Linked DNA regions of Nothobranchius furzeri. The protein of the gene in region 2 purifies or fractionates together with the protein of the main gene of each other region. This does not show direct contact. Links are inferred from orthologs where the notes say so. Each region holds a gene or a part of one and is shown on either strand. Other genes may lie near its edges. The genes, in order: gar1 and clns1a.

Region 1 (16,585 bases), on a different chromosome or scaffold from region 2:
CTAGTCGCTGTCACGTGATAATGACCGGCAAGATGCAGTCCACGGAAAAGACAGCAGCCTGCTGTCAGCAGGTGACAGGTGATGCGCCCCGATCCACAGCAGCGAAACGCATCAGGCACAAATAAAAGAATAAAAAAACAAAAAACATAAAAGGAAATGAGCGGACATGAACGATCGCATGTTAAATTAGTTTTTGAGGTGGCGACACCTGATTTGATAATGTTACTGTGGCCGTGCTCAGGACGCAGATGTCTGGAGCGCGTCAACAATCAGAGCTTTGCATGCGCAAGCTGGTTAATATGAGGTTAGGATGGGGGTGAGGGGAAGGTTAAATTGCAAGAGGGAAACGTCACAATTTGGTTAAATGTCCGTTTTACAGCGGGTGTCAGTACCGACGCTCTGGCACAGAGCGTTGCCTCCCGTGGCCGGCGAGCAGCGCGCACTCCGCTGTTTTTGCGGTCGGTAGATCTTTTAGAACTGCAGTTCAAAGGTAACTCATAAGGTGAATATATATGAACCCAGGTAGCAGTTTTTCTTTAGGATTGAGAGAAGCAGGAAGATAATAAACAGACAGGACAGAAAAATAGTCAAATAAAAACAAGTTAGTTTTTGTACCTGGTGGTTGCAACAAACAGACACCATTGAAGGTAATCAGAAGTGAGGAACAGAAAATGAAATAATTATTTTAATGTTTAGAGCAGCAGGAACTCCGAGAGGCTGCAGGCGCATCAGTGAGTTTGTGGCTGCTGCGCAGGGGGAGGGGGGAGATGGCTGAAGCAGAAACTACCGTTGTTAAAAGAAATGTGTTTAACTTTGAAAATGTGGGCGCAATTTTGATTGTCAAAAACTCCAGCGAACCATTAGTTCATTTTGCTCAAATAGAAATTGAGGCCTGCCTCTAATACTGGCCCTCCTTCCAATAAAGGCCGGGAGCTTGATGAGCTTGAGTCAAATACAGGCCCGGGCCTGTATTAGAGGATTTACGGTAGACTTCTCACTATCATTATGTGAGTTTCATGGCTGTTGCCAGTTACGGATCAGTGCCCGAAGATTGTAGATGACAAACATGAGTCATTAGGGATGGCAAATTCTGTAATTTTAACAGCATTGACAAAATTCTGTGGCACCTACCGAGGATTTAGTTGTATTATATGAAATGGTGAATTGTTTCAGTACCTGTCCTCCATTAATGAGAACTTGCGAAACAGCGATTTGTCGTGATAGACAGCAGCGCATGCGCAAGAGTATAATGTCGTCAGTTGCTAGGAGGTGAACTGTAAATAGAGCAAACAGCATGGCAGAAAGCGCTTTAAAGTTTGGCTTCACTTCAAGGATTGGAGGAAGATGACAACATTGACAACACTCTAAGTGAGGCATCATCATCTTAATCTGCTCCAGCAGGTAAATAAACTGTTTAAGATAGTATTAGCTTGATATTTGAGTTTCTGTTAACATTAGCTAATGGTGCGTTCGCTTTCTTCTCAGAACTTGGAATTTCCGAGTTTCGAGAAGGAAAAATCAACTGTTTGAAGATGGCAAAAGGAATGAAGATGCATGGTAAATGTTGTTCTCAGCAAAGATGTTTGCTTCAGTTTAATTTGCAGACCAGAATAGTACAAGGACCCACCCATCACACAAATTGTCGAGAGGAGAGAGAAATAAGAGTACGCAGAGCTGAGTTTTAGTATATCTGGTGTTAGTATTCTTTGGTGTTTTATGTTAGGGAGCATTCACTACACGTATTATGGCAATATTTCTGCTGTCTTGCTGTTATATTTAAAGATAGATATGAATATGTAGATACCCCATTGGGCACTGGAGAGTGTAACAGTGTCACCGCCATATTGGATGGGTCTCACTCAAAAGTCAATGCAGAGTGGGCAACTATGGCCATTTTTGTGCAGCCTACGGTTGCAATAACCTGTGTACTATTGAAAACAGATCACATAGGATTACTATTGACTTTTCTAGGCTACCTTATATTTTCATTTAGTTTGTTAAATTACATGTATAATTTAATTATCATGACATACCATGTGTCTGATTTTGTGAAATAAGCTTGATTAAAGTGTGTTTTTTAGTTGTGTAAGCACCTTCCTCAGAGGAAATGAATGCACTGGGGGCAAATCTAAAATGGCTGCTGGCCACTACAGCAGCTCCATTAGGCAGAGCCAGTCCACGGGCCATCTACATAAATATGTCTCTGGTTATAGTTCTGAATGACTCATTAAAAGAAGTAAAACGCCACAATTGACTCATCATTCACTCCCCACATACATTTTACTGGAATGTCAAGTTGTTGGTTATTGAACAACTTTCTTTGGATAATTTTAGAGCTAAATGGTAGATGGCCTGTATTTGATATAGCGCCTTCTAGAGTCCTGGAACCCCTCAAGGCACTTTACAACACAATCAGTCATTCACCCATTCACACACACATTCACACACTGGTGGGGATGAGCTACAATGTAGCCACAGCTGCCCTGGGGTGCACTGACAGAGGCGAAGCTGCCGAGCACTGGCGCCACCGGTCCCTCTGACCACCACCAGCAGGCAACGTGGGTTGAGTGTCTTGCCCCAAGGACACAACGACAGCGACAGACTGGGCGGGGCTCGAACCTGCAGCCTTCCGATTACTGGGCGAGCACTTAACTCCTGTGCCACCGATTTTTTTTTTCTAGTTCACCTTTAGCATTGTTAGCTCACCGTTGGCTTTTAGCCTGCTTCTACCGATAATAGAGTAAAAAGAAAAAAAGATGCTGCAGAGTTAGCTTAGTGCAGACTCTGCAACCTCACAAACTCACTGAGTGTAAACAGTAACTTCGTCCCTTTTTGTGTTTTTTTAAGTGAGAAAACCGACCACCACCCAGTCGTCTGAGACAGCAGATCTGTTCAGTGTAACCTTCCCTCCAACAGGACTGAGACATTAAGCTGTTTTGTGATTATTTCACTATAGACTCCTTACATGTTCCTGCTCTAAGTACATGACATATTAGCATGCATCTTTTTAAAGCTCAATGCATTTTATTGCAGGTAAAATGTCCCCATTCTGTCACTTAAAATTTTATAACTTCTAATTATAATGCCTTGTCTTTTAATATATCAGTCAAACCTGCACAACTTTTATTTGACAATTTAATGTTAAAACAGGACACCCTACTTTACAAGATTTGCCACTGCTTGAGACAAAACTGTCCCTGAAAATGTTATGCCATCCTCAAATGAGGTTCAGTATATTCCACTACTGAGACAGAAGCTAAAGCTAACTGTGTCAAGGAAAGGCCGAGGATATCACAGCCAATGCCAGGCATTAGGCACATAATGGCTAGGATTTACTGATAAAACAGGGGCCTCACAGTGGCAGTTCTCAGGGACTTAAGTGGGTCGACTTGGGGTTGTAAACTACATGAATTCTGCGTTCTAGCTGTCAAACATGGTTTTGACTTTCATAAAATCTTTAGAAAATGAGGGTTTTAATGTTTGACGTGTTGCAGTGGAACTATGGACTATGAAATACTACTGAAATATTTATTTCACCAGAAAGATGCACAAACAGATGAAATGTTCCAGTCAAGAGGTCTAGTTCTAACATTTGTGAAAGTGGCTCAGGGTTTAGGAGTTTGCCCTGTAGTCAGTGGGTTGCCGATTAAAACCCAGGGCTCCTTCAGTGTCAGTTGAGTCCTTGGGCAAGACACTTCACCCTACTTGGTGGTTGGAGGGACCGGTGGCACAGATTGTGTAGCAGCCTTTCCGCTGTCTGTGTGTCACATGGCAGCTGTGGTAACGTTGTAGCTCATCACCACCATCAGTGTGTGAATGACCGAACTGTACATTTTTTTAGAGTCCCTGGCTTAGAAATGTGCATTATTATTACTATTATTATTATTAATATAAAAAATTGAACTGGAACATTTCTTAAGTGAAATGCTATGATTAGAATTAACACTACTATGCACTGGATAGAAAAAGAAAACCTGAAAAAGAATTACTCAAATGAACAAATACCTTCACATTTATTTAAAAATCCAATCTTGATATTACTTTCCAGCAAATACACGTCCCTCCACATGTTTGCTTTCCACTACACAGTTACTTTTGCTTATGAAAAAAAAACAAAATGTAAAAGCAAAGGCTAGCATCTGGGAAATCTACTCAAACATAAAATAGTTAGACTGATTCTTCGGTCTGACGCAGGAAATTCTTGCATTGGACAGAAGTTTTTCTGAGGATGCAGAACATCGGCTGAAGGCAAGTAGACCAGTTCTGATTCACTAGTCATAAGAACAGCTAAGATTGTTTTCTTTTGTTAAGGTTTGGCCTCAGGTAAACACCACCAACTATAAACCCTACAACATCTTATTAAAAAATAAGGTGGTTCATGCTAGAAACCCCTCAAATAAAGCTGAATTACAACAATTCTGCAAAGATGAGAGGGCCAAAATTCCTCCAGAGCACTGTAAAAGTTATCGCAAACGCTTGATTGCAGTTATTGCTGCTAAGGGAGGCCCAACCAGGTATTAGGTTCAGGGGGCAATTACTTTTTCACACAGGGCAATGTAGGTTTGGATTTTGTTCTCTCCCTAAATAATAAAAACCATCATTTCAAAACTGCATTTTGTGTTTACTTGTGTTATCTTTGACTAATGGTTAAACATGTTTGATGATCAGAAACATTTTGTGTGACAAACATGCAAAAGAATAAAAAAGGGGCAAATAGTTTTTCACACCACTGTACCATGTGTTGGTTGTGGTCAGAGGGGCCGACGGCGCATAGCAGCCTCGCCTCTGTTAGACTGCCCCAGGGCGGCTGTGGCTACAAAGTAGCTTACTATCACTAGCAGTGTGTCAATGTGAGTGTGTGAAAGTGTCTTTGAGTGTCCTGAAAAGCACCATATAAGTTTAATGCATCATTATTATTATTTCCTATGTGTAAAAGAGTCATCGTGAACAAACACCAGCATTGAAACATATCAAGTATCATTATTCAGTTTTCTAAACCCTTTTATCTTTCCAACAATAACTTCAGACAAACTGGACATTAACATGAAACATGAAGAGACAGACAATCGAGCCCTAAAAAGCGTGCAGTCCAGTGGTTTTAACTCAGACAGCATGTCCTCCACGTATCAGTTGCACAATGCTGTGACAACTCCGGAGGATACTGGGATCAAAAAGTAAAAAAAAGAGGGTAGTAGACTTGGAGTCATCACTTTGGATAGTTTTCCCAAAGATTAGAAAGACGTTCAGACACATGTACCCAAGAAAGCCTTATAAATCTGTGAGCTAGTCCAGCATTTACAGACGACGGTACCCAGCCTCACCAACACCTGTTAAAACTCGTCTTCCTCTCGCTTTTGATCTCTCATCTCCTCCTGCTACTTTGTTATCATCATGGCTCTCCTTCCCTCTCTCTAAAGTTTGAATTATTTTCCCCAAATGTATAAAGAGTTGTTCTAAGTTGTGCAGTTTGTGATTAATGGTGCAGGCAGAGGAGACCAACCAAAGACAAGAGGACAAATCTGTTTTCCACTTTAGAAGAAGATGGAAAATCCGGATCGCTGCCAAAGGTATTCATTTGATCCGAACAACACTTCAATAAAACAAATTCCTTGGACAGCTATTTTTGGTTCTTTACAGACGCAATCCCCAAACAACCCTTTGTCTTCTGACCTGACAGCCTGCAACTGTTTTGCTAACCGCTCTTGATGACTCTCCCTTTTTAAATCGATACGTAATATTACCAAGGACGAAACGCGGTAAGCCTGACCACATGAAGCAGATATTTCTCCACGGCTGATTTGGTGCCAGAGTTTTTTAGCCCAACTTCTCAGACAAGATAGTCTGAAGCAGAATCAGTGTCACTGGAACTGCCAAGTACGACAGATGTAGGGAGAATTAGCCCTGTGGAGATGAGGCAGTTTATAAATTTGAAGTCTAAAGAACATTTTATGTTTTTAATTCAGGTTTTCATCAAAGCTTTGAGCAAAAAATAGGAGACATCAACATTTAACCCAGATAAAATAGCAATCTCTACACAGAACAAAAAGACGTTGATTTGGTTAGATGCTCTTGTTCACACAACAGAATCTTGTGTGTGATGTAAAAGTGCCACCTAGTGGTGAATGTGGGAATTAGCTGCAAAGAAAAAGTTTTACTTTCTTAAAAACGCATGAATGGTAAAGACAAATAAGAAATGTTTCCTTTTTTATCCAGTGATGAAAGCAAGTAAATTCTTCATGTCTTTGGTTTATCTTCTTCACAGTCCTGAAGACTGATAGAGCGGATGCTGAGAAAAGGAGAAAAAACAAAACAACTAAAAAATAGTGATTAAACAATTCCTTTAACTAAATAAATTCATTTATTTGAATAATAAAGTTGTTAGATCTTTTTAAAACTAACATTGATCAGTCCCAGCATTACAAACAAAGCATCCTTTCAGTAGAAATACTCTAAACAGTCATGAACCAGCTTAGAAAAACATCTTTAGATGAATACACAACACACAGAATAACAAATACAGTGCATCGAAATAGCCATAATATTATGACTATGTGGCAGTGTGAGCGTCCTGTCACAGTGACCCGATTGATCATGCGCCCTGGCTACTTGGCCACGGGGATGTCCCTTTGGCTGACTGGTTAGCGCGTGTGATTCTCACCCGGGAGTCTGGGGATCGAATCCTGCCTGCGCCCTCGCTTCTCCACCTTGCCACAACTATATGCATGTTATGAAAGGTGTCCATATTTTGCAGCTAAAACAGCCTTAAGGTGTGATGTGGGATTTGACACGAAGACATTCTGCTAATAACTAAATAAAGCCACTGCGGTGTTGTTCTTGACCAAACGGAGATCAGGACAGCCTTGAAGTAAACTCAACACTTTGAACTCTTGTTATGTTCCTCAAACCATTTTTGAACCACATTTCCTACCTTAGTCTGATACATCTATCCCTGAAAATGGTGGCTGAGAACAAGCAGTACCTTTTACCCGTGAAGCTCCACCCCTAAACTCTTTTCCCCGAGTGCATCCTTGTGCGGTCAGCAACAATTTTTAAATGATCTTGCTACCTAAAGAAATAAAAACTTATCTTCTCAAGGTAAATAGCACAGACCCTGATGTCCACATAATGTTGAGAAAAGGACTGTGCAAGAACTAAAGTTGTGAAAATGCCATCGCCCAGCTGTTTGGACGATTATCATGCTTGCTCAAATGTTGTTTCAATAAATCCACGTTAAAGACTAGATTGCTTTCCGATTTCCTCCCAGTAGAAGGAGCCATTTTAAAGATGATCAATTATAATAGTGGGTGTTCATAATGTTTTGGACGATCATTTTATATGCCCAATAGTTTCTAAAACTAGTGTTTTCCTAAGAATTTATTCCACTACTTTCCTGTTTTTACACACTGAAGCACTTCCTTTTTATATTATGTAGAAATGAAGTAAAAATGACACCATGTGGTAAAATTTGGTTACTGCACCCATTTTAAACAACTCAAGCTTTTTGCCGGCTGTCGTCAAATTAAAAATGTCGGCGCTGCAGTATTAGCCCGCAGGAGACACGGCACCCCCACACTCTGATGGCAAACAGTAGTAACGTCCCTTTTTCCTTTGTTTTGAAAGGAGAAAAACTGACAATCCCCACAGCCAGCTGGATATGAAATATGTTTCAGTATAACCTTCCTTTCTTAAATGACAGAAAAATTTGACTCTATTGGGAGTCACTGTAAAATTCTCTCTATATTCTTACATACTGCACCTTTAAAAAGTCAGACTGTGACAAACTGTACTTAATGGCTGAGGAAGTGAGGGTACTGGACACTTTGACATTGTTGTTTTCAGATTTTTACTAATATCCTTACTTTGGACCTAATCTGACGTGTAAGAAAAGCACCATAAAATAATTTTTGCATTATGTAAATTCAAAAACAAACATATTTTGTGGCCTGCCAGGACTATAACTTGACAATTTTGGCCCTCATCCTAAACAATTAGGACACCCTTGGATTAGAGGGATCTACAAACAAGCACATAGAAATAAAAAAGTCAACTAAAACTGAGAGACATAAATGACGACACCTTTCACCATTCTCCAGGGGGTTAAAGGCCGTGTTGATCTCATTCAGCGGCTGCGTGTGGGTGATAAACTCATCCAGCTTCAACTTTTTACTCATGTAGTCATCCACAATTTTCGGCACACCCAACACACTCTTCCAGCCTTCAGAAGACAATGACAATAACAAGGTGGTGATCACGTTTAGTTCAGAGAAACCACTCTGGGTCATTCAGAACTACATTTTAGATGAATATTTAAAACCATAACTCACCAGATCCTACAGGAAACCCTCAAACACAGTTATTTTGTGTTTAAACAACTTAAGGAGAACTTTGATTCTCTTAGTCTTATACTCATCCAGCTCTGCTCCTGGATTACGACCAACAGCTGCTTTATGGTGAACCATTGAACTTGTTTCCAGCTTACCTCCAAAATACGTCCCCTTCAAGGTGCGTCCCATCAGGATCTTTATGACTGGGACACTCATCGTTTCAGTCTCCATCCGCCCGGCGATGACGCAGGTCCCACAGGCTTCAGCTGTGGACTCTAATGCTGCAATCTGAGAAAGCACAAGATGTTTGAGTTTAGTCTTCTTTATTTTCTTACATGTTGACGCAGATATTTAGAAAATAATCAATAATTTTAGAGAGCATTCAACCACTTTTATTTTTGCACAACTCATACCTGAACTACCTGTAACTTCCTGGCACACTCAGTCCGTAGCAACCTGCAGACTCTTGACTCTAGGTTTAATTAATCAGATAATTACAAATCCACCATGACGTCTGGCTTTCCGACACACTCCAGAGCAACGTCCACTCCTCCAGTTGTCTTCTCCACCAGAACCTCCTGGATGGATTTGCTTCCATTGTTCGGGCTGATGCACTCAGTGGCTCCAAACAGCCTGGCCTTCTCAAACTTCTGAGGGTTGGTGTCAACCCCGATGATCGTTTTCGCCATGGCATTCTTACAGCCTATAATGGCAGCCATTCCGACGGCTCCCAATCCAAACAAGGCACACTAGGAATCTTTTTCAACCTGAAAAAGAGAAGTAAAACAACCATTTTTTTCACTGATGAGGCATACAGTCACTGATACAAATTAATGGCTAGAGTTATTTGTCGATAGGTGTGCCGGTGTAAATCTGGGTGTAAAAGATAAAACCTGGATGTAGCTGTGGAGAGTGAAAGGTGCAGTTTTAATGCGTGTGAAAATGTTGTCCACCATATAAACCAAGTCAAATAGCCCAATTTAATTAGCGATGTGTTATTTATTGCATTTGTAACAAATATTAATTTGAAGCTCAACCACAATTTATAATTTTACTTTGCAATGATGCTCCTAGTCTCATGTTTCAGAGAATATGTTTTAAAAATGGATGCTGTACAAAGCTGAAGCCAAACTGTTAACAAAATGCCCAAAATATTTGCACATTTTTATCTGGAATTAAATTTAAGGCCAAAGTGTTACAGTGTTGACTGTGACTTTTTAAACACGCATGAAACCATTTATAATAAAAATAATCTGGTAAATTATTCATTTCTAAAATGGATGATATCTCGTGCGTATTTTATCATGTAGCAAACATCCGGTTAAAGGCAAAAACATCTAGTGCTATCTACTGGTGAGATCTACACCTTGAAAAGTGTATATATATATATATATATATATATATATATATATATATATATACACACACACACACACACACTAAGAAGATGACTTTCTGCAAAAAACAGCCACTTTAACATTAGAAAGTACATAAACTATAGAATGAACAAAGCTGTTTACTGGTTAGAGGCCCCTTACTTTGCCTGAATTGATAGCAGCACCATAACCGGTGCCTAACAAGCAGACTTTGCCCAGAGGTGCATCAGCTACTTTTGCCAGAGATGTGTCAGGAAGCACTGTGTACTGACAGAAGGAGTCAATACCGAGGAACTGATAGACCTACTGACCTTTGATGGAAATCCTGCTTGTGCCATCAGACATTACGCCCTTTTGTGCATTGTCCCTAGAAATCACATGATGTGCATTCAGACCAACACCCATGTGATGTTTGTGTTTCTAAACATGTGACAAAGATGATCTACCAGTTCTTCCTGCAAAAGTTTGTTTTTGAGCTCTGGCACCGATCACACTTTCCACAAAAAGGCAAGAAAAGAGGAATAACTATCTCCTGGCGACAAAACAGAAGGACAAAAATTGAAAGTTAGAACTCATCACAACTTTTGAGTTAACTGTACAGGCCATCATACCCGGTGAGAATGCATTCTCACCGGGTATGATGGCCTGTACAGGGTATATGGCCTGTACAGGGTATGATGGATCTCTGGACCAACACTCTCCACTACGCCCGCTGCCTCGTGGCCAAGAACTAAAGGGAATGATCTGAATTTCAGTCTTTTCCCAGTCTCATACAGGTATTCCCAGTCTGTGTGGCACAGTCCAGTAGCAAAAATATGTTGCATAAAGTAAAGAAAGGAAATAAATAAATCAGGAAATGATTCATCTTGCAGTTTGCATATGTGGATGTGAAAAATGTTCACATGCGTAATACTTTTCACTATCACACGCATAAAGTCATGATGTTTTATGAAAGTGCTGCTGAATTATGTCCTTGAGCTTAGGTGGAGCAACACTTCCTCGATAGACAAAGGCTTCTTCTGCTCCCAAGCAACAGCTGCTTTACACTTGATCACCTTTTGTAATATAAAATACACATTCATTCAGGTTTCAAATAAAATCACAAGACAAGGATCAACAAGCAGTCTAAACACGGTGAAAAATATCAAAAAATACTCACCTGTCCTGCCTTTGCCATAGCTGATTAATGGCTACTCAGTCTGCAGTCCACTAAAACATGAAGATATGTTTATATCCATTTATCTGTGAAGCGACTTTTGAGCTGTCCCACTTGCTGTTGCATCACATATCAACGATGCCTCCAAAAAGCGCTTTACTCATATAAATATTACCGTTGGGCAATTACGACACTTTCCGACTGTGGTAATCGGGTTTACGACAGTCTATGGTCACACGTGTTATTTGAGTGCGAAAAGGCTTCTTGTAGTCCAGGTAAATAAGTTCCTCTGTACTTTTGTCACATATGTTTAAAATGTTTAATTTAAAAGAAACTCAACAGATGTTGCGTTTTGTCCGTTAAAATAACTGAGCGTGTAAACGTCTTAATTGCGGTTTAAGCTAACGCGTTAGCATCTACATGCTATAATCCACGCCGTGAACTGCAATCACGTCTGTTCTCGGTTTTTAGTTTGGTATTAAGTTATGTAACCGTTTATAGAGGTTGCAGATATTTTTGAAATGGAATACAGTCTGGAAAATGATCGATTGCCGCTGTTAAAATGGTTTAAATCAAGGTTAAAACAACATTTGAAACGAGAACTTAGTTAAATAGCGGTGTCAGATTTGGTCCTCTAGGACCACCAACCTAGATGTTTTAGAGGTTTCTGCTTCAACAAACGTGGTTTTAATCGGCAAGTGATTAACGGGCCGATCCGAAGCCTCTGGGCAGGTGAACTAGGTATGTTGGAACAGAGAAACAACGAACATGCTGGACAGGGCCCTCCGTGACCAGACCAGGGTTGGAGCTAACGACACTGGAGCAAAGGGGTCTTGGATTAGTTTTGAATCAATCTCAAAACCATTTTAAATATAGAGAATATAGGATTTTAAACAGTCAATACATATCATTGGGAGACTGATCTTAAATTATATACATTTTAAGGAGGTTTATATCAAAGTGGAGTTTATTATGAAGCAATTTCAAGAAATGCTTACTACAAACACTGTCAAATTTTAAACATAAACAAAATAAAAAGAAAACAGTTTAAATATAAATAGAAAATATAGAGAAAAGCAAATGGCATCCAACACAATATAAAAAAAAGCAGCTCCTGGATAGAGTAAACTCAAGTTCTACATCTGGAACAGCTGGTGGGTTTTGGTTTGAAGACATGACACCATATAATACCGTTATCTGTCCGTGCAAGGGCACACCAGCACGCTCACAAGGATGGGACAGTCTAACCCACTTTTTAAACATCTTTTAGACAGAGAATACAGTCTTGTGATTGGTCAGAACTCCGCTTTCGTCAACAGCACTGCCATTGCGCCCTCAAAAATATAAAGAAGGCCAAAGATATCCAGCGGCACACAAGGAGCAGCTTGATGAATACCTCATGGAGGAACTCTATAAAAATATAAACGTTTTATTCACCCATGACTGGAGGAGTGAAAAGACACACAGCAAACGCTCTATTCGTGGACGAAAATTACAGAAAACGTGGGTTTAGAGGTGGCGAGCGCATGAAGAGGTGGGGGAGCATGAGGGACAAATTTGTCTGTCTTAAAAATTTTCTAAAATACAAACACTATTAACCCAATAGGAACAGGTCTATCTTGGACATTATACATGACAGTATACCCCAGAACTACGCCCTCTATTCCTGGAGGGGTAGCTTTGCAACACTCCCCAGAAGACGGACAAGTCGGAGATCAAAACATCTCTGTTAATTTGTGTGCTGATGCAAAAGCATAAACTAGGCTTTACAAGCAAGGCACTCATTCCTACTTGAGACCACTGCAAATGTATAAAAAATATGAGTAAAACTGACCTTAAACAAACTGGTTGAAAAAAAAGAAAAGAAATTGGTTTGGCCCAGGTGGGAATAAAGAGAAAAGGTGTGATAACTAGGGTTGTCACGGTATGAAAATTTAACCTCACGGTTATTGTGACCAAAATTATCACGGTTTTCGGTATTATCGCGGTATTTTTTAAACGGTGTTGCATATGTTCAGAAAGCATTGATAGTCCTGTTCTACACAAACTGAAATAGTTCTGTAAAGGTTTAACAATGTTTATTAAACCTAAAATAACACAAAGCCTTAGCAAAAGTGCAACTTTTCAGAAGTAAAGAACAAATAGCTTATTTTTCTGGAACATGTTACAGTAGTCAGTGCAGGTTTAAATTATACAAATCCAAACATTCGAAACATAAACAATATGTAAACAAATCAAAGAAACACCACTTGTTTTCTCATATACTTGTTTTCTTCATTATCAAAATGAAAATCTAAAACTCCAGTCCACACTTGACTTGAGCACTGTACAAGTCAACCTTAAAAAAATATGTATTTAAAATAAATAGCCACTTTAAACAAATTACTAAAATAACTACTACACTATGTAATCAAATCCAAATGTTCAAGTATAAATGGCATTGAATAAGTAAACAAATCAATGACAAGGAACTAACTGTATATTTCTCTTCATCATCAACAAATAAGATGCTTCATCCAGCAACAGGTGTCCGTGACACGGTTTAAATGCTGGCAGAGGACGCTGCGGCTGCAGTATATAGTGACTCGTTGCATTCTCCCTCAACCAAAAGTCCTCACGTCATGCATTTAAGCTAAAATGCTAATGTTAACTTACCTTGCACTGGCTGTAGAGACGTGGGTGATGGTCACGCAGATGTGCCATTCGATTCGAAGTGTTGCTGCCTTTTGCAGACACTTGTTTCCTGCACGTTCTGCAAACGGGATAGCAGTCTTCTATTAACTGTCCCTCAGCATTTTTCAGAAATCCAAAATATGCCCATACTTCCGATTTAGTCTTCTTTGACGGCTGATGGATGTCCTGGGCGCTGCCGTCTCCTCCTTCGGCCATTATTTCAGCTTCAAAGTTTTGGTGCCGTTGCAAACTAAAAAGTGCGTGTGCGCGCCGCGGGAACTTCAGCTGAAGCGACGGTGGCTGGTAAGGGTCACCGCGCCGAAACCGCGGCCACGGTAAACCCACCGAGATAATATAGTTTTTTAAAAACTGGACGGTTATTTTTATTGTCAACTTTTTTACCGGGGTTTACCGCTATACCGGTTACCGTGACAACCCTAGTGATAACACAAAAGTAAATTTCTAATTTTGATAAGAAAATAACGTTTGAATTAAACACTCAATGTGACTTTTAAACAACAGCGTTGGTCTTAAAGAGCAAGTTACCCCCTACCAGATTCTTACTCAACTCCCACTTCCTGTTTGAAAAATGCAACAAATGCTGTTGCCTAGCAGACCGAGAGGGCGGAGCCGCTAACAAATACACACACACACAGGCTCACAACGACATTGTGACATCGTATGGTACCAGCTAATCAATTCAATTTAAAAATACTTTATTAATCCCAGAGGGAAATTAGAGTTTCAGTACACACAATTCTGAGATCAGACATGCATACATGGACACATGACAAGAATTGGTGACTGTGGTCATTTGCAACCCGAGTCGCGCTATCGTAATAGATCAAGAGGGTTAATATGAGGATAGAGTCAGGGGGAGGGAAAAAAGGCACTTCAGTTACCCTCAACACAGAGGGCAGCTTTGCAATGCAAAAAAAAAAAACCACCTCAGACAGATATGCACAGACTTTAGACATTACACAACACAAGTGTCCACTAGGTGGGGAGGTAGGGTTGGGACTCTCCTCACTTCAGTGCGTGCAGCCACATGGAGCAGCATTCATCACCTCCGCTTGGACAGGAGAGGGAGATAATGGGTTAGAGGGCACATTTGACTCCTAGATACGGTTCCACAACCTTCACCGGTCACAGTCCCGCCCAGGCTGGGATAGGGAGAATGTTTCCATAGCGACGGGCCGGCAGCATTCCACATTTCTTCTGTGAGGGGAGTATTCACTTCAGCCTCACAGGCTCCAAGGGCACCAGATTCAGATAAAAATTGTTTTGGGGACAGACAGATGATTTCCTCTCTTCCTTAGTGTTCTGTTGGTCTTCAACCCCTCTAGATCCAGCATTGGCATAATTAATCTAATGTTCTAGGGTACCTCTTAGCCAATAGAGATTTGGCAGATTTAAGTTCAAATGCAGTGCAGAGTTTTTACCTGACAACGGCACAACACTGACAGTTTTAGGCAGAAAATTAAAATTTTAACTAAAATCCACAAAAGTGCAAAACTATTGACTACACGTGTCTGCAGACCGATTAGATATGCATTTATATAGTTTCTAAAAAAAAAAAGTTGATTTGGGGGTGACTTGCTCTTTAAGCTGAGGATTTTATGTGATCACCAAAAATCCCAGCGACTAGAATTTATTTAATAAAGAATTTGAATTTAGCTGAAGAAATGTGAAAGAAAGTTTAAAAATGACACGACACCAAGGATAGACAAAGCTGACCGTCTTCAGCGTAATCGTTCCACGGTTCTGTTTTACCTTGGTGATGAAAGGCTGTAAAATGACCCACCGTGTGTGTGTTTTCCTGACACCTTCATTTACAGACTTGAGAAGAATGTCTTTCAGAGGAGGAGGCGGGCGGGGAGGTGGGCGAGGTGGTGGGAGAGGGGGAGGTTTTAACCGAGGTGGTGGATTCAGAGGTGGTGGAGGATTCGGACGAGGAGGTGGAAGAGGTGGTTTTAACAGGCAGCAGGACTACGGTCCTCCAGAGTACGTCGTCGGTAAGTAGACTGTTGTTCCTATTTGGCAGATTGAAGCAACATTCACACTGCATGTCTTAACGCTCCATTCCATTTTTGTTTGTGTGGTTGTTGAAATTGTGCCTCAAATGTGACACCAACACTCTTCAGTGTGAACGTAGCCTGTTTTCTTATAAAGCCTGTATCCACGGCTCAACAGACCAGTCAGAAAATGACTGGATTAGACTGCAGTTTGAATTTTAAAGGTATGTTTTTTTGTTTTCTGAAACTCATCGTTGTGTTTCTACTCCACAGCTGTTGGAGAATTCATGCATCCCTGTGAGGATGATATTGTATGCAAGTGTACAACAGAAGAAAGCAAAGTTCCCTATTTCAATGCCCCGGTGTACTTGGAAAACAAAGAGCAGATTGGAAAAGTGGATGAGATATTCGGCCAGCTCAGGGACTTTGTATCCTTTCTTGTGTGTTTTTTTGAGTCATCTGTGTAAAATGATTAAAACACTATTGGTTTTTTTTAAGCTTCCTGATAATTAAATTCCCTAACTAATGTGTGCGCAGTATTTTTCTGTAAAATTGTCTGAAAATTTGAAGGCATCGTCGTTCAAGAAAATGCAGAAGGTAACTGATGAGAACAAGAACGTTTTCAGATACTGAACTCGGATACTTCTGCAGGTTGTGATATTTGTTAAAATTGGGTTTTCAGTTTTACATAGACCCGATGAAGCTACTCCCATTGCAAAGATTCCTGCCTCGGCCCCCAGGAGAGAAAGGCCCGCCAAGAGGAGGAAGGGGAGGCGGCAGAGGTGGAGGAAGAGGCGGTCGTGGAGGTGAGTCATTTCAGATGTTTAGTCCTTTTTGGTCTTTTGCTTTAAAGTTTTTTAGGATGGTTTTTGTTTCTACTAAACCAATTTCCGGTTATTTGAACAGCTTGTAAAAGTGGTGTGATTTTTTTTGTTGTTGTTAATTTCAGGTGGTTTCCGGGGTGGCAGGGGTGGAGGATTTGGAGGTGGGCGTGGTGGGGGGTTTGGAGGTGGACGTGGTGGTGGTGGTGGAGGAGGTTTC
Region 2 (16,485 bases):
GCAGCTCGCTTTAAAAAGCTTTTATCTTCACTTGTGAAAGTCACGTTGTTTTCTATGTAATCAAAAGGAAGCTGAAAGGAAGGACAAAGGAAAATGTGTAACGGGAGGAAAACAGACCAAAATAGAAAGAAGAAAGGCAAAAGCACAGGAGCGCTGACAGGAAGGAGAACGCACTCAAAGGGAGAGACAGACCGGAAACTAGAGGAGGACTAATAAAGATGGAAAGTAACTCGTGTCAGAAGGGGAGAGTTTCACAAATCCAGTTAAAGGTAAGATTGTTGAAAACTGAGTGAAAGGGGGCCGTGTCTGTGTTCGCCTTGGGCCCCCAAATTGCTAAATCCGCCCCTGCTCCCACTGATGAGTTGTACCTCTGAAAGGCTCGGGTGTTAGGGTTAGCCTAGCCCAAGAGAGTAAAGGCGAGTCTCCAGGTTAATAGTTGATGTTCACCTGATTGTCCTAATAACTGAACATAATAATCAAAGCTCATGTTGACTCTGGCGGTTCTACCTTCCATCTGAGCCCACACGGGCCTAAACCAGGAGAAGTCGCTGACGAACATGAAGCATACAAGATAAAGCAGCAAACCACGCTGCCTTACAGGGATCACCTATTTAAACTCTCCTGTTCTGGTCCATGCAGGTACGCTGGCCTCGGTGCTGCTGTCTGATCAACTCAGCCAGGTGTTCTCACCTGCAGCACAGTCTCTTTACCTGCCACTGCAACCCAAGAAGAGGACGTGAGCGTGGCGTTCCACCCAGAGCCATCAGCTGCTCCAACAGGCTGTTGATGACATCATCATGGGGATTTTCCAGCTGCAGCACAAACAGTCCATCGAACTCTGATCTACGTCTGTCTGGATCCTGTAGGACTTATTTGTTTCTATTTTTATTCTCGTGACTTTCAAATATTTTCTTCTATTTCCAATCCAATCCAATTTTATTTATAAAGCGCATTCACAAGGCATTACAACCAAACAAGGCGCTGTACACTAAAAATGTTGGTTAATTAAACCGGCGTTATACAAACATGTCGAACACAGATAAAAGATAAAAAGGAAATACAACAAAATTCCCAAAAATAACAGCTAAAAATCATTAAGACACAGGGTGAAGTAAAAATAGGAAAAACATTTTACAAAGAACCTCAATAATACGGAAGTCGATAATTGTAAAGTCCATTTTTAAACAGTGCAGATGTCAGTGAGGTTCATAATTATGTTGTATAAGCTAGGTTGAAGTAGTGAGTTTTCAGGCGTGATTTAAAAATGCTAGCTGTTGGTGCTAGCCTCACTAACAGTGGTAATGCGTTCCACAGCTTCGGTGCACAGACAGAGAAAGCCCTCTCTCCACGGCTTTTTAAACGTGCATTGGGAACAGCTAGGAGGAGCTTATCTTCAGACCTGAGAGCACGCGGCGGGTTGTAGTAATGGACAAGTTCACACAGATATGGAGGAGCTTGATGGTTCAAGGATTTGTAAGTGAGAAGCAAAATTTTGAAGTTTATCCTGAACTGCACGGGCAACCAGTGGAGAGCATCCATCTTCAGAGCCTGGTCCATTTTTACTCCAAGGTTGGAGATTACAGAGGATACATTAGGTGAGAGATAGCTGAGGTCAGGTTGATGAGTAGCCGTGGTACTGTAAGGACTGAAAACGATTAAGTCAGTTTTGGAGTCAATAAGATGGAGGAAGTTGTCAGCTAGCCATTGCTTGACCTCAAGGATACAATCAGACAGAACTTTCATTGATTGAGTTGGCTTAAATGAAAAGTAGATTTGACAGTCGTCAGCGTAAAGATGGTATGAGACAGCGTGCTTTCTGAAAATGGCTCCTAAGGGCGGTATATAGAGGTTGAACAGTAACGGGCTGAGAATTGAACCTTGTGGGACACCCCAACGTAGAGGCTGTGACTCGGATGAACAGCCGTCCAACATGACCCTAGCAGACCTGTTACAAAAGTATGACCTAAACCAATCCAGGGCAGTGCCTGAAATGCCAGCCCAAGTGTGAAGTCTTGTGATCAAAATGTCATGATCGATCGTGTCGAATGCTGCAGATGGGTTTGGGTTACCCCTTTAAAACAATAAACCCAAGTCTGGCATAAAGGTCTTTCAATCCAGATTATTTTATGTGTTAAAAACACGACTGAAGGAACAAAGGGCTGCATAGAGAACAGCCTGGGAGCTAAAACCCTGAAGACAGGAAACAATCCTTACACAGCGTCTCAAGGTAGACATCACGAGGCGCGCGACTACAAAATGATACATAAAGAGATTTAAAATATGTTGATGTGATAAAAAATAATAATATAAGGAAAGGTGGAGCAAGGAGAGGGAGGTGATGACGGTCCCACCTGAGCCTGAACAGGTGAGTTTAAAGGAGACCACTGAGTCCACTGATCTCAGGCTCAGGGGGAGAGAGGTCCAGAGTCTGGGGGCCGCAGCAGCAGATGATCTGTCACCTTTGACCTTTAGCCTGGTGCTGCACACTGGACCTCAGGGACCTGCTGGGGGTGTAGGGACTAAGAAGATCACCAATGTAAGATGGTGCTTGTCCATGTAAGGCCCTATAGACCAGAACCAGGATCTTGCACCACATGCAGATGATGTAACTCGTGCCTCTAGAGTCTCACCGTTGTAGACTGAAGTCGGATTTTACGGGTGAAATATTTGCAGAACAACTTCTCTACGATTATGCTACCTACAGCTTCTGCCAGCTTTGATTGGCTGTTAAATCTGGACCTGTGCTGCTGCTGAGGTCATGACCCTCAGATGTGATTCCCAATCATTGGTCTACTGCTGCTCTTTTACATCACACCTGCGTATTTAACATGGCCTGAGTAAATACTAGTGAGCTGCTGTTGGCTCACAGCTGGTTTCCCTCTTTCCTGTTCACTCTCTCTCTTTCTTAACATTTTTAATCACAATTGTCTATTTTTGCTCATTTTAAATATATTTTTAAACATTTTCTAAATTCTTTTTTATATTTTTACATGTTTTGTTCTTGTGAAGCGCCTCGTGGTTTTTATCTTGAGAGGCGCTATAGAAACGATATTTTCTTCTTCTACCCTTTACTGATTTGCCTGTTTGAGGTCAAAGGTCAGATGTTCACCTTCAGGATTCAAAGGGTTCAAATGAAGCAACTGGACTTTGGTTTCTTGAAGACGTTTCGCTTCTCATCCGAGGAGTAACAAACTGTAAAGCACCTTGGGGGGTTCCAGGGCTCTAGAAGGCCCGATAAATACAGGCCAGTGACATGGAGCATCCGTCTGTGTGGGTTTTTCACCCACTGGTCCTGAATGTCCATCTGAACGCACACAGACCAGTATCTGCATCTGGACTCGCATCACCCCCGATGCACAAGCTGTCAGTCATCAGCACTTTACACCATCGGGCCGAGAACGTTCCCACAAAGACTGAAGGAAAACACAAGCTCTCCAGAACTTCAGATACCCGACCTGGGCCTTTGTCAAATCTAGTCCGGAAAAGCATCCAAAGCAGCAACCAGCAAAGAAAAGGACAACCACCATCCCACACGTGGCAGGAGTCCCAGAGAAACCTAGAAGAATCTTCTCCAAACACGACATCCCAGTAAACTTTAACCCAACAACACCCTCAGACAGAACCTGGTCCACCCAGAACCCAAACAGAAGCTCGGTGGTGTGGTTTATGCAGTCCAGTGTAGCGAGGACTGTCCAGATGTTTCCATCGGGGAAACTAAACAACAACTACACACGAGCATGGCACGACACAGGAGAGCCACCTCTTCAGGTCAGGACTCTGCGGTCCACCTGCACCTGAAGCACAAGGACACATGCTGGACAGAGAAGAGAGATGGAGAGAGAGGAGTAAAAGAAGCCATCTATGTCAAACGTGAAAAACCCACTTAAATAGGGGCGGGGCTTAGATTTCACCTTTCTAGTACCTATAATGCAGCTTGGATCCCATTCCTGAGCAGCTTCAGTCTAGCTCACACCTTCCTGTGTCTAGTCAGCACAACGACTTCCTCTCAGTAGATGCTAATGACTCATCATGGGATGGAGAGGAGGGGTATTCAGAGTAGTTTCTGCTGGTTTAATAACAGACAGCTGCAGCTTATGAGCGCGACTCTCCCATATTCCAGTCAGGACTGACAAAGCTCCTCAGATGAGAAGTGAATTGTCTTGGGCGACGGTGAAACAGGAGTCAGGTGCTCGCCCCTTAATCAGAAGGTTGCAGGTTCGAGCCCCGATAGATATAGATTGAGAGGGATGATAGAAAATGAGAGAAATGAGTGTGTCCTACCGCACAATAGCTGCATCCAGGCACGAGTCTGGTAAACAGTGGAGATGTTGCAGAAGAGCACCATGCAGGCGATGCAGCTGAGGATCAGCACCATGGACAGCAGCACGAACGCCGAGGCCACTTTGAAGCCTCCAGACAGGACGGAGCTGAAGTCGGCGAAGCAGCCAGCGCAGTGGTTCCTGGCTGCCGGCTCTGGGCTCCTCACTCACGCAGGAGTGGAAGAGGCCGAAGTAGCCGGTCCGCGTCGTTCGCCGATCCAGCAGGGTTGGACGAACACCATATTGACGATGGCCCACATCACCCTGATGGCTCGGGAGTTGTGCGTGTAAATGTCATGGTAGATCTTGGAGGCTTCTTGGGAAGGCAACATGTTTGGTGTAGTTTCTTCTCCTCTTTGGAGCTATCCCTGCGTCTGACTCACTTCAACAGTCATGGACAAAACGCCGCTCTGCTGGGCCACACACCTAACCTCCATCACCTGCTGCTGCTGGTGGTCGGAGGGACCGGTGGCACCTGCGCTCAGCAGCCTCGCCTGTCAGGGCGCCCCAGGGCAGCTGTGGCTACATCGTAGCTCATCACCACCAGTGTGTGAATGAGTGAATGACTGACTGTGATGTAAAGCTCCTTGGGGGGTTCCAGGACTCTAGAAGGCGCTATATTAAACACAGGCCATTTACCATTCATGAAACCAAAGAAGTCCAGCTGCCTTCATTTGAACCCTTTTGGATAACCGGGACCGGGCCGGCCGAGAACCTCCACCAGCACGCTGCTCAGAACCCTGACCCAGACCCAGAATGGTTCTGAACCAGCTGTAAACATGCTTATTTCAGCTTTTCTAACACACTGCTGCCAGCACCTAGTGGATGAGGCAGGAACTGCAGTTTTAGCCACTTCCTTGCTGGCTTCCTAAACTCCCAGGATTGGTGGGGGGGGTCTGTGTGGGACTGACTCCAGATGGAACGACACGCCCACCCTGGTGGATGGTTTGGGTTAGTGAAGGTCAAACAGCTGAATGTGACGTTCAGCCCATCAGGAACGAGGTGGTGCTAGCTTCTTCAGGCTCGACATATCAACTATTTAAGGAGATCCAACAGTCCGTTCATGAAATACAAAACAATCTTGTTTATTGACACTTTTACAAACACGTTCCTCCAGCAGGAACCACTAAGTTGGTCTTTAGAGCAACAGCATCACATGGATCGGGGAGGTGGAGATTAGAGCTGCTGTCCTCGTTAATCCCACCGCTGCTTCCTCTGGCTGGACGAGATCCGTCTGCAGGAAGTTAAATCATAACCGTCATGACAGGTGACTTCAGATCCCACCTGCACCGGGCCTCGCAGTGACACGTGGTGGGCATGACTCCAAACGTCAAACATGGACCTGAAAGGTGCTGGAGGTGATGAACTCACCAGTGATCCACATCTGCATCCTCAAACTGCCCCGCCTCCATCGCTGCAGCATCCACCTCCATCCCATCTGGGACAACACACACACACACACACACACACACACACACACACACACACACACACACACACGTTAGTGTTCACACACAGCGCCGCTGATCCGAGCAGCAGAAACCGTTACTCCTGCCCCTTCACGGGGACCCCAGGTGCTGAACAACGACAACACAGTAAAAGGCTGAAATTCAACATTTAAAACATTAAAACACGAGAGCAACAGCTAAGAACCAGAACCAGAACCAGACCCGAGATGGACCTTCAGCCTGGCTCTACACGAGCGCAGCGATGGGGACCGTTTCATTTCTGGGGGGTCTTGGTTCCAAAGCCGAGGAACCAGAACCTCTAAGGCACGATCACCTCTGGACTTGGGCTGTGGCTGCAGAACCACTGGGAGGTCGCTCTGACCCGAACGTGGCGATCATGCAGAAACATAGCGGGTCAGCAGTGAGGCTATAGGTGGGCTTGTTCCAGACAGAGACCGGATCTTAGGACAGGGGTTCACTGGTAACCAGTCCAGAGCAGCAGCTTTCTGGAGCAGCTGCAGCCGGGTCAGTAAGGACCGGCTCAGGCCAGCAAGCAGAGACCTGGAGGTCATAAACGCCTCGGCCACAGTTCCCAACTCCTGCGGTAAAAACCGCACGAACAACAGAATCCACCTGCAGAGTCTGGCTGAACACCCAGGTGTGTGTCCCGGACTCGTCGCTGCGGAGACAGGTCCGGTCCATGGAGCTGCTGGTCATCGCAGGTAAAAGCACCGCTTCAGAGGTCAGACGGGTTTCTTTTACGGATGCTTCAGTAAAAACAAACGCGACGGTGGCGGAGGACCGAGTCCCCGCAGCAGAACCGGAGGGTTGCAGGTCCAAGTCCTGCTCAGTCCATCAGCTGTGGTGTCCTTGGGCAAGACACTTGACCCCGCTGTTGGGGGCACCTGTGTACGGAAAAGTGAGACCCTCTAGGGAGGCCCCGCCTTTCTCTTATCTGATTGGCTGGAAGGGCTCTGCTACAACTGACGTCCTCCTGCCACCAGCAGACCCGCGTTCCAGGGTCAGTACCGGACCAGAACTGGGTTACAGGCCAGGGTCAGTACCGGACCAGAACTGGGTTACAGGCCAGGGTCAGTACCGGACCAGAACTGGGTTACAGGCCAGGGTCAGTACCGGACCAGAACTGGGTTACAGGCCAGGGTCAGTACCGGACCAGAACTGGGTTACAGGCCAGGGTCAGTACCGGACCAGAACTGGGTTACACGCCAGGGTCAGTACCGGACCAGAACTGGGTTACAGGCCAGGGTCAGTACCGGACCAGAACTGGGTTACAGGCCAGGGTCAGTACCGGACCAGAACTGGGTTACACGCCAGGGTCAGTACCGGACCAGAACTGGGTTACACGCCAGGGTCAGTACCGGACCAGAACTGGGTTACAGGCCAGGGTCAGTACCGGACCAGGCAACTTTTTCAGACCTCTTCCTCAGAAGTCCGACTGGGACAAGGTGATACTACGGACTGATTGGGTTCGGGTGAGCGGGAAACGAGAGAGCGGTGTGTGTCCTCTGAGCAGCCAACATCTCTGCACAGAGCTCTCGCCACAGCTGCTCAATGGGAGGAGAGCAGACAGCGTGTGTGTGTGTGTGTGTGTGTGTGTGTGTGTGTGTGTGTGTGTGTGTGTGTGTGTTTTATGAGGTACTGGTCCTTCCAGTGAGCTTTGCAGATGTGGGAAAATGTCATCAGGCAGTAATCGTTGTTAAATTCATAATTATTCTGGGAGAGAGACCAACTCTTATCTGCCCCTGGGAGCCCCGTAATGCATAGCGTCATTTCAACATGGGGGTGTCCGCGACACGGTTTACATGCAGGTAGCGGCGCTGCGGCTGCTTTATATAGCGACTCGTTGCGTTCTCCCTCAACCCAAATCCTCGGATCACGCATTTTAGCTAAAACGCTAACGTTAGCTTGCCTTGCGTTGACTGTAGAGTTGTGGGTGATGGTCACGCAGATGTGTCATGAGATTGAAGCGTTGCTGCCTTTCACAGACACTTTTTCTGCACGTGCTGCAAACAGGATAGCCGTCTTCTATCAGCTGTCCCTCGGCATTCTTCATATATCCAAAACATGCCCGTACTTCCCACTTTGTCTTCTTTGAGGGATAATAAATGTCCTGAGCGCTGCCGTCTCCTCCTTTGACCATTATTCCAGCTTTAGCTTCAAGAAAGTTTTGGTTGTAAACAACAAAGTGCGCATGTGCCGCCGGCAACTTCAGCAGATGGTACGGTGGCTGGTAAGGGTCACCGCGCCTACGCCGCAGCCACGGTAATCCACCGAGATGATATAGTTTTTTTAAAAACAAGACGGTTATTATTATTATCAACTTTTTTACCGGGGTTTACCGCTACACCGGTTACCATGACAACCCTAGTCCAAATTTTAGAAACGTTCCATAAAGATTATGAATGTGATGTCATCACGTGACGGCGCGCCGAGAGAACAATGGCGGCTCACGCCTGTTAACAGAGAAAACGACGCGCTTTCTGGTGGAAATAGCTGCCAGCCTTCCCCAGATGCCGCCACTAGCACCAAAGTACCCGTGGGGGTGGTAGAACCCTAGAGGGTACTATATAAATAAAGCATTTACCAAAGTAAAACAGCTGAATAATGAACTTTCCTTCAGTTTTAAATGACATTCATCTAAATCATCACCTCAAATAAACTTGTTTTTACCCTAAACGCACGAGCAGACCGCTGTAAGCCGCACCTGTAGAGCACCCTCCCACACATGAACCCTTTCTGATGATTGGCTGTTTTCTACTTCAACTCTTATGATGATGCTTCCATCTGGGATCTTCTACTAGTCACAAAAGGACTTCTAATAAGAATCCATCAGAAAAATGAAAGCTGACAAACCATCGAACTCCGCCTTGGTTTCTTCGGTTCTGACTCCAGCCATGTGGTACTGCTGAGCCACGGACTGGGCCAGCATCCCCTCCAGCCTCTCCAGCGTGGCTTGACCCTCTTGTGTCAGCGCCGATAAACCCTCGTCACACGTGTAGAAGGTGGGTATGTCGGCGTGGCCGTGCTCTAACCGGGTACAGAAACAGCAGCAGTGGGTAAACAGTTTATATTTTCAGAGTGTGTGTAAGATCTGGATGTTCACCTGCTTCTGCAGATGTCAGGTCCACGAGGAGAAAAACCAAACGTGTCCAGAGAAAAAGAACAGAATGAGTTGAGGGTTGAATATCGTGAGTCGTTCCTAATGGCAGTTACCCACCGGCCTCCTCCACGTCGTACTCCTCCCCCTCAAAGTCGTTATCAGATTCGTCGTCTTCTGGGTCCGGGTGCAGGGCCTGGCACTCGCACATGGCTGAGAACATGGACTCCACTGTGAGGAGAACCAAGGACCAGGGTTAGGGCACGTTCCTTTTTACCAGCCACCATCACAGCTGGCTCCAGATGTTGTCAAGCACCTTGGGGGGTTGTAGACCCCAAGATGGCGCCGTACAACTGCAGACCATTTAGTTTTGCCCAGTTAACTTCCAGCTGAGCTCTCGTTCTTCTGCTGTGCAGGGGTGTAATATATATTTAGCCACCAGAGGGCACAAGAGGGCCACCATCAAAACCACAGAAGCGCTCCTTTAACTAAACATATAAAAATGTTTTTTAACTTTGTGCATCACAATAAAATAACATTACATGTCGTTAATAAAATACCCGAGTCCTAAAACTGCGTGACAAGTTACGGATTGTTGACGATGGTCACAGCAGCTGGAGCACAACTAGATTCGTACCCTTTAGTCCGGCACCTATGCACCAGAAACCTGCGACCAGAGGGCAGAAGCACAAAGCGGCTCTGCAGGGGGTGCAGAAGCAATCCTCTTCACCTGGCTCATACACTGGTCTGTGGCCTAGCAAGCAGACGACCTGGCCACTTAACCATCTCATCAAGTGATGACTTGTTTCAGATTTGCTTAGTCAAACCATGACAACAATAGGAGTGGTAAAGCATGGTCATTATGGTCCTATCGTCTCCTTGAGCAGTGACCAGGAGCTCACGTCATTGATCGGTTTAGGAATAGGGACAACTGCATCCTTCCACATTCTGGGCACCTTTTGTAGCCCTAAAGGTTCATGAAACAAATGGCACAAGCTAGGACCTAGTTCATGTGGGTCCGCGACCACTTGTATTTTATTGATTTTAAGTGTCGTAAGGACCTTCCTCATGTCCTGCAACCCCGTGTCTGCTTAAGGGAACCCCAGGCGTTCCCTCTCTGTGCTAAAGTCCATACAACCAAAGCAGCATCAGCAGGTTCCTCATCAGAGGTCAGACGGTACTGTGGACCTCTTTTCCTTGACCAGCAACAACTTTCATGCTTGTCGAAGCTGAACCTCGTTTGTCTGCTGCCATCTTATTTTATTTATTTATTTACTTGAATGAGTTTTCTTTAAACAACAACTTCAAATTGAGCTTTAGAAACTAAATACCGTAAATCCTCTAATATTAGCCTGTATTTAATTAACTGCCGGGTCTAATATTTTGGCCGGTGTCGGAGTCGGCGGAGGTGAATAATGGCCGGTCTCTTATTGTGGCCGGGTGGAATGTGGTAACAAGCAAGTACGGGGGGCGGTTGTGTCATCCGTCTCACTTCTGATTTGCCAGTGATAGACCGCGAGGGTAACTTTAACCGTGCGGAGACGAAGAGGAGGCGAAAATTTGATATCAAGTTCAAAGAGAACGTGCTGATTATGCTGCAGAACACTCTGGGGAGCAGTAGCAGGGGTTGTATGAACTAGTCACTAGTCGACTTCACCGCTCTATAGTGACTTGTTATGCCTGTCATCGACTAGTCGCTGTCACGTGATAAGGACCGGCAAGATGCAGCCCTCGGAAAAGACAGCAGCCTGCTGTCAGCAGGTGACAAGCTCCTGCGCGTCGGGAGGCAACGCGCTGTGCCAGAGCGTCGGTACCGACACCCGCCGTAAAACGGACATTTAACCAAATTGTGACCTTTACCCTCTTGCAATTTAACCTTCCCCTCACCCCCATCCTAACCTTAACCAGCGTGCGCATGCAAAGCTCTGATTGTTGACGCGCTCCAGACATCTGCGTCCTGAGCACGGCCACAGTAACATTATCAAATCAGGTGTCGCCACCTCAAAAACTAATTTAACACGCGATCGTTCATGTTGGCTCATTTCCTTTTAGGTTTTCTGTCTTTTATTCTTTTATTTGTGCCTGATGCGTTTCGCTGCTGTGGATCGGGGCGCATCACCTGTTTTGTCCTCGGTGACGGACCTCACCGATGAGGCCGGCGAGCACTCCGCTGTTTTAGCGGTCAGTAGATCTTTTAGAACTGCAGTTCAAAGGTAACTCATGAGGTGAATATATATGAACCCAGGTAGCAGTTTCTCTTTAGGATTGAGAGGAGATGCAGGAAGATAATAAACAGGCAGGACAGAAAAATAGTCAAATAAAAACAAGTTAGTTTTGTACCTGCTGGTTGCAACAAACAGACACCATTGAAGGTAATCAGAAGTGAGGAACAGAAAATGAAATAATTATTTTAATGTTTAGAGCAGCAGGAACTCCGAGAGGCTGCAGGCGCATCAGTGAGTTTGCTGCCGCTGCGCAGGGGGAGGGGGGGGGGGGCTGAAGCAGAAACTACCGTTGTTAAAAGAAATGCGTTTAACTTTGAAAATGTGGGCGCATTTTTAATCGTCAAAAACTCCAGCGAACCATTAGTTCATTTTGCTCAAATAGAAATAGAGGCCTGCCTCTAATTCTGGTCCTCCTTCCAATAAAGGCCTGGAGCTTGATGAGCTTGAGTCAAATACAGGCCCGGGCCTGTATTAGAGGATTTACGGTAAACAGGATCTTTCATGGATGTAAATTCAAAGAGTCTGAGTACCCGGCCCGGAGGGTTACCCGGGTCCCACCTTGGAGCCAGGCCTGGGGTTGGGGCCCATGAGCGAGCGCCTGGTGGCCGGGCTTTCGCCCATGGGGCCCGGCCGGGCCCAACCCGAACCGGATACATGGGCTCATCCAACTGTGGACCCACCACCCGCAGGAGGAACATGAAGGGTCCGGTGCAATGTGGATCGGGTGGCAGACCAAGGCGGGAGCCTTGGCGGTCCGATCCCCGGACAAGAATACTGGTTTTTGGGACATGGAACGTCACCTCGCTGGCAGGGAAGGAGCAGGAGCTTACGGCAGAGGTTGAGCGGTACCGGCTAGATATAGTCGGACTCACCTCGACACATAGCATTGGCTCTGGAACCCAAGTCCTTGAGAGGGGTTGGATACTCTCCTTTGCTGGAGTTGCTCCAGGTGAGAGGTGGAGGGCTGGGGTTGGCTTTTTGTTAGCCCCAAGACTCTCTGCCTGTGTGTTGGGGTTTACCCCGGGGGACGAGAGGGTAGCTTCCCTGCGCCTTCGGGTCGGGAAACGGGTCCTGACTGTTTGTGCTTATGGGCCAAATGTCAGTTCAGAGTACCCACCCTTTTTGGAGTCCCTGGGACGTGTGCTAGATAGTGCTCCATCAGGGGACTCCATTGTCCTGCTGGGGGACTTCAATGCTCACGTGGGCAATGACAGCATGACCTGGAGGGGTGCGATTGGGAGGAACGGCCCGCCTGATCTGAACTCAAGTGGTGTTTCGTTATTGGACTTCTGTGCAAGCCGCAGTTTGGCCATAACGAACACCATGTTCGAACATAAGGATGCCCATCGGTACACTTGGTACCAGGGCAGCCTAGGTCACAGGTCGATGACAGACTTTGTAGTTGTATCATATGACCTGCGGCCGTATGTTTTGGACACCCGAGTGAAGAGAGGAGCGGAGCTGTCAACTGATCCCCACCTGGTGGTGAGTTGGATCAGATGGCAGAGGAAAATGCCGCGTAGACCTGGCAGACCCAAACGCATAGTGAGGGTCTGCTGGGAACGCCTGGCAGAAGAACCTGTTAAGACGGTCTTCAACTCCCACCTCCGGCAGAGCTTTGACCGCGTCCCGAGAGCAGTGGGGGACATTGACTCCGAGTGGGCCTTGTTCCACTCTGCGATTGTTGAGGCGGCTGTTGCTAGCTGTGGTCGCAAGGTGGCCGGTGCCAGTCGTGGTGGCAACCCCTGTACCCGCTGGTGGACACCAGAGGTTCGGGGAGCCGTCAGGCGGAAGGAGGAGGCCTACAGGGCGTGGCTGGTCTGTGGGTCTCCGGAGGCAGCAGACAGGTACCGGATAGCCAAACGGGGTGCAGCAGTGGCAGTTGCCGAAGCAAAATCTCGGGCGTGGGAGGAGTTTGGTGAGGCCATGGAGAAAGACCATCTATCGGCTCCAAAGAGGTTCTGGCAAACTGTCCGGCGCCTCAGGATAGGAAGGCAGCAACTCACTCACACTGTTTACAGTGGGGATGGGGAGCTGCTGACGTCAATGGGGCTATAGTCGGGTGGTGGAAGGAATACTTTGAGGAGCTCCTCAAACCCACCTATGCGCATTCCGAGGAAGAACCAGAGCCGGGAGACCTGGGGATGGACTGTCCAATCTCGGGGGCAGAAGTTGCTGAGGTAGTCAAACAACTACACAGCGGCGGAGCCCCGGGGGCGAATGAGGTTTGTCCTGGGTATCTCAAGGCTATGGATGTTGTAGGGCTGTCATGGTTGATACGTCTCTGCAACATTGCGTGGTCATCGGGGGCAGTTCCTGTGGAGTGGCAGACCGGGGTGGTGGTCCCCATCTTTAAGAAGGGTGACCTGAGGGTGTGTTCCAACTATAGGGGGATCACACTCCTCAGCCTCCCTGGAAAGGTCTACTCCAAGGTACTGGAGAGGAGGGTCCGATCGATAGTTGAATCTCAGATTGAGGAGGAGCAATGTGGTTTTCGTCCTGGCCGTGGAACTGTGGACCAGCTCTATACCCTTGCAAGGGTGATGGAGGGGGCATAGGAGTTTGCTCAACCAATCCACAAGAGTTTTGTGGATTTGGAGAAGGCTTATGACCGTGTCCCCAGGGGCACCCTGTGGGGGACGCTCCAGGAGTATGGGGTGGGTGGCTTTCTGTTAAGGGCCATTCAGTCCCTTTACCAGAGGAGCGTGAGTTTGGTCCACATAGCCGGTGGTAAGCCGGACCTGTTCCCGGTGAGGGTTGGACTCCGCCAGGGCTGCCCTTTGTCACCGGTTCTGTTCATTACCTTTATGGACAGAATTTCTAGGTGCAGCCGTGGTGTGGAGTGTGTCGAGTTTGGTGGCAGGAAAATCTCGTCTCTGCTTTTTGCGGATGATGTGGTCCTCCTAGCTTCATCCAGCTCTGACCTTCAGCTCTTGCTGGGTAGGTTCGCGGCCGAGTGGGATGAGGATCAGCACCTCCAAATCTGAGACCATGGTTCTCGACCGGAAAAGGGCGGCTTGCCAACTCCGGGTCGGGGGAGAGGTCCTACCTCAAGTGGAGGAGTTTAAGTATCTCGGGGTCTTGTTCACGAGTGAGGGTAGGAGGGATCGGGAGATCGACAGGCGGATTGGTTCAGCATCTGCAGTGATGCGGACGCTGAGCCGATCTGTTGTGGTGAAGAGGGAGCTGAGCCAGAAAGCCAGGCTCTCAATTTACCGGTCGATCTACGTCCCAATCCTCACCTATGGTCATGAGCTTTGGGTAATGACCGAAAGAACGAGATCGCAGATCCAAGCGGCCGAAATGAGTTTCCTCCGTAGGGTGGCCGGGCTCAGCCTTAGAGATAGGGTGAGGAGCTCGGACATTCGGGAGGGACTCGAAGTAGAACCGCTGCTCCTCCAGATCGAAAGGAGCCAGTTGAGGTGGTTTGGGCATCTGGTCAGGATGCCTCCTGGACATCTCCCTAGGGAGGTGTTTCGGGCATGTCCTGCCGGCAGGAGGCCCCCGGGTTGACCCAGGACACGTTGGAGAGGTTACGTCTCCAATCTGGTCCGGGAACGCCTTGGGGTCCTGCCGTAGGAGCTGGTGGACAAGGCCGGGGAGAGGACGGTCTGGAGCTCCCTAGTTGGGATGCTGCCCCCGCGATCCGGACCCGGATAAGCGGAGGAAGACTATGACGAAACTAAATAAATGACAGATGAAACAAGATAAATAAACATGTTTGGACTGGTGTGTTGTTTGTTTGAACCCATTTGTCTCGTTTCAGAAGTTCTGCTGCTGAAAACACTAAAACATTAAGAATCCTCAACTTACAACAAACATGTTGGACGTTCATTTATATTTGCTGATAATAACATTATTATTATTATCTAGGGCTGGGATGATAAACAAATCAATTAATCGTACGATAGATTAATTCATTTCCTCAGCCTCAATATATCAACGTAAAGCAATGTACAACTCTATTATTATTATTATTATTATTATTATTATTATTATTTATTGTCCTTAATGAAGTGTAGTTTGGTTGTTGACACTGGATGGGCCGTTGTATTTGTTGTTTTGGAGAGAGAGGGTCCATTTTATTGTTTTTAGTGCAGAGAACAGAGTGAAAGTCCTTTTTTATTTATTTATTTAGAAGTCGTAGACATTCTGATGTTAAATAAAGGTTTAATTGGAGCATTTTAATGGGTTTACTTGCATTATTAAGACATATTAACATTACACAAGTGATTAATTTGGTCTAAAAAATGTCAATAATATTATCATCAATAATTTGTTGGACAATATATACTCCAGCAAAAGTTGTTATCGTCCCAGGTCTATGATTATCTATGTCAAACATGAGAAACCCACTTTAAATAGGGGCGGGGCTTAGATTTCACCTGTCCAGTACCTATAATGCAGCTTTGGATCTCATTCCTAAGCAGCTTCAGTCTAGCTCACACCTTCCTGCATCTAGTCAGCACAACGACTCATCAGGGGATGGAGAGGAGGGATACTCAGAGTAGTTTCTGCTCGTTAAACAACAACAGACAGCTGCAGCTTATGAGCTTGACTCTCCCATATTCCAGTCAGAACTGACAAAGCTCCTCGGATGAGAAGTGAAACGTCTTCAAGAAACCAAAGAAGTCCAACTGCCTTTATCTGAACCCTTTTGGACACCATGACCTGGAGGACTGAGAACCTTCACCAGCTTATCGCTGGAAGAAAGATTTAGATGATTCTTTTTGTATGATGCTGTGTTTGTTGTTTGGTAGAGGGACGCATCAACGGCTCGTATTAAACCCGGTTAAAGTGGTAAAAAGAAGCCCGTCCTTGTTTCTGTTGGGGTGTTTGCTTTAAGCAAGACGGTTCGTAGCTGAACATCAGCTACCGGGGTTCTCTTTAAGGTGTTTGAGTAGGAAACTGAATGAATTTGCTCCCAGCCAGAGGTCACATGATCCATTAATGCTGTCACTTTCGTTTTCCTTAAACATCCATTCTTTATGGACAAGGACTTTATTTTAATGTTTAATTTGCTGTTTTTCTTTGTTTTAAGGTGGATCACTACTGAATCAGAATCAGAATGACTGTTTAACTACATTATGTGATCCTTGGATGATTGCTGGCTGTGCAGCGCTTTGTTCAGCTCGCATGCTGTTTAAAGGTTGAACATGTAACACGGACACTGGCGAACTCTGGTGTTCAGAGGTGGTACTGCAACAACAGAACTAATTCTCCAGCTGCTGGGATGTTGGGTCACTGCAGACCATTCGTACAGGGTAAGGACTCGTTTCTACTAACGAGTTTATTTTACATCAGTATTTACCGTCAGAACATCTCATGGGCTCAGAATCAGCTGCTCACTTTACACAGTCCCAGCCTGCCTTGCT

The links.
Region 1: the proteins of clns1a (region 2) and gar1 purify together in Homo sapiens (affinity purification with mass spectrometry; 3 studies listed by BioGRID and IntAct, counting the BioPlex papers as one, with this or other methods). This does not show direct contact. The link is inferred for Nothobranchius furzeri from reciprocal best matches to the Homo sapiens genes CLNS1A and GAR1.

What each region holds. Positions count from the first base shown.
Region 1 is NC_091741.1:77,338,478-77,355,062, forward strand, and holds the start of gar1 (H/ACA ribonucleoprotein complex subunit 1), read left to right. Parts: upstream 1-14,161; 5' UTR 14,162-15,309; coding exon 15,310-15,544; intron 15,545-15,817; coding exon 15,818-15,972; intron 15,973-16,081; coding exon 16,082-16,141; intron 16,142-16,226; coding exon 16,227-16,350; intron 16,351-16,493; coding exon 16,494-16,585. UniProt on the Homo sapiens protein: Required for ribosome biogenesis and telomere maintenance. Part of the H/ACA small nucleolar ribonucleoprotein (H/ACA snoRNP) complex, which catalyzes pseudouridylation of rRNA.
Region 2 is NC_091753.1:60,556,858-60,573,342, reverse strand, and holds the end of clns1a (methylosome subunit pICln), read right to left. Parts: intron 9,117-16,485; coding exon 9,006-9,116; intron 8,898-9,005; coding exon 8,892-8,897; intron 8,816-8,891; coding exon 8,642-8,815; intron 5,758-8,641; coding exon 5,691-5,757; intron 5,554-5,690; coding exon 5,553-5,553; 3' UTR 5,384-5,552; downstream 1-5,383. Other genes in the region: aqp11 (aquaporin-11), read left to right, coding at 640-740. UniProt on the Homo sapiens protein: Involved in both the assembly of spliceosomal snRNPs and the methylation of Sm proteins.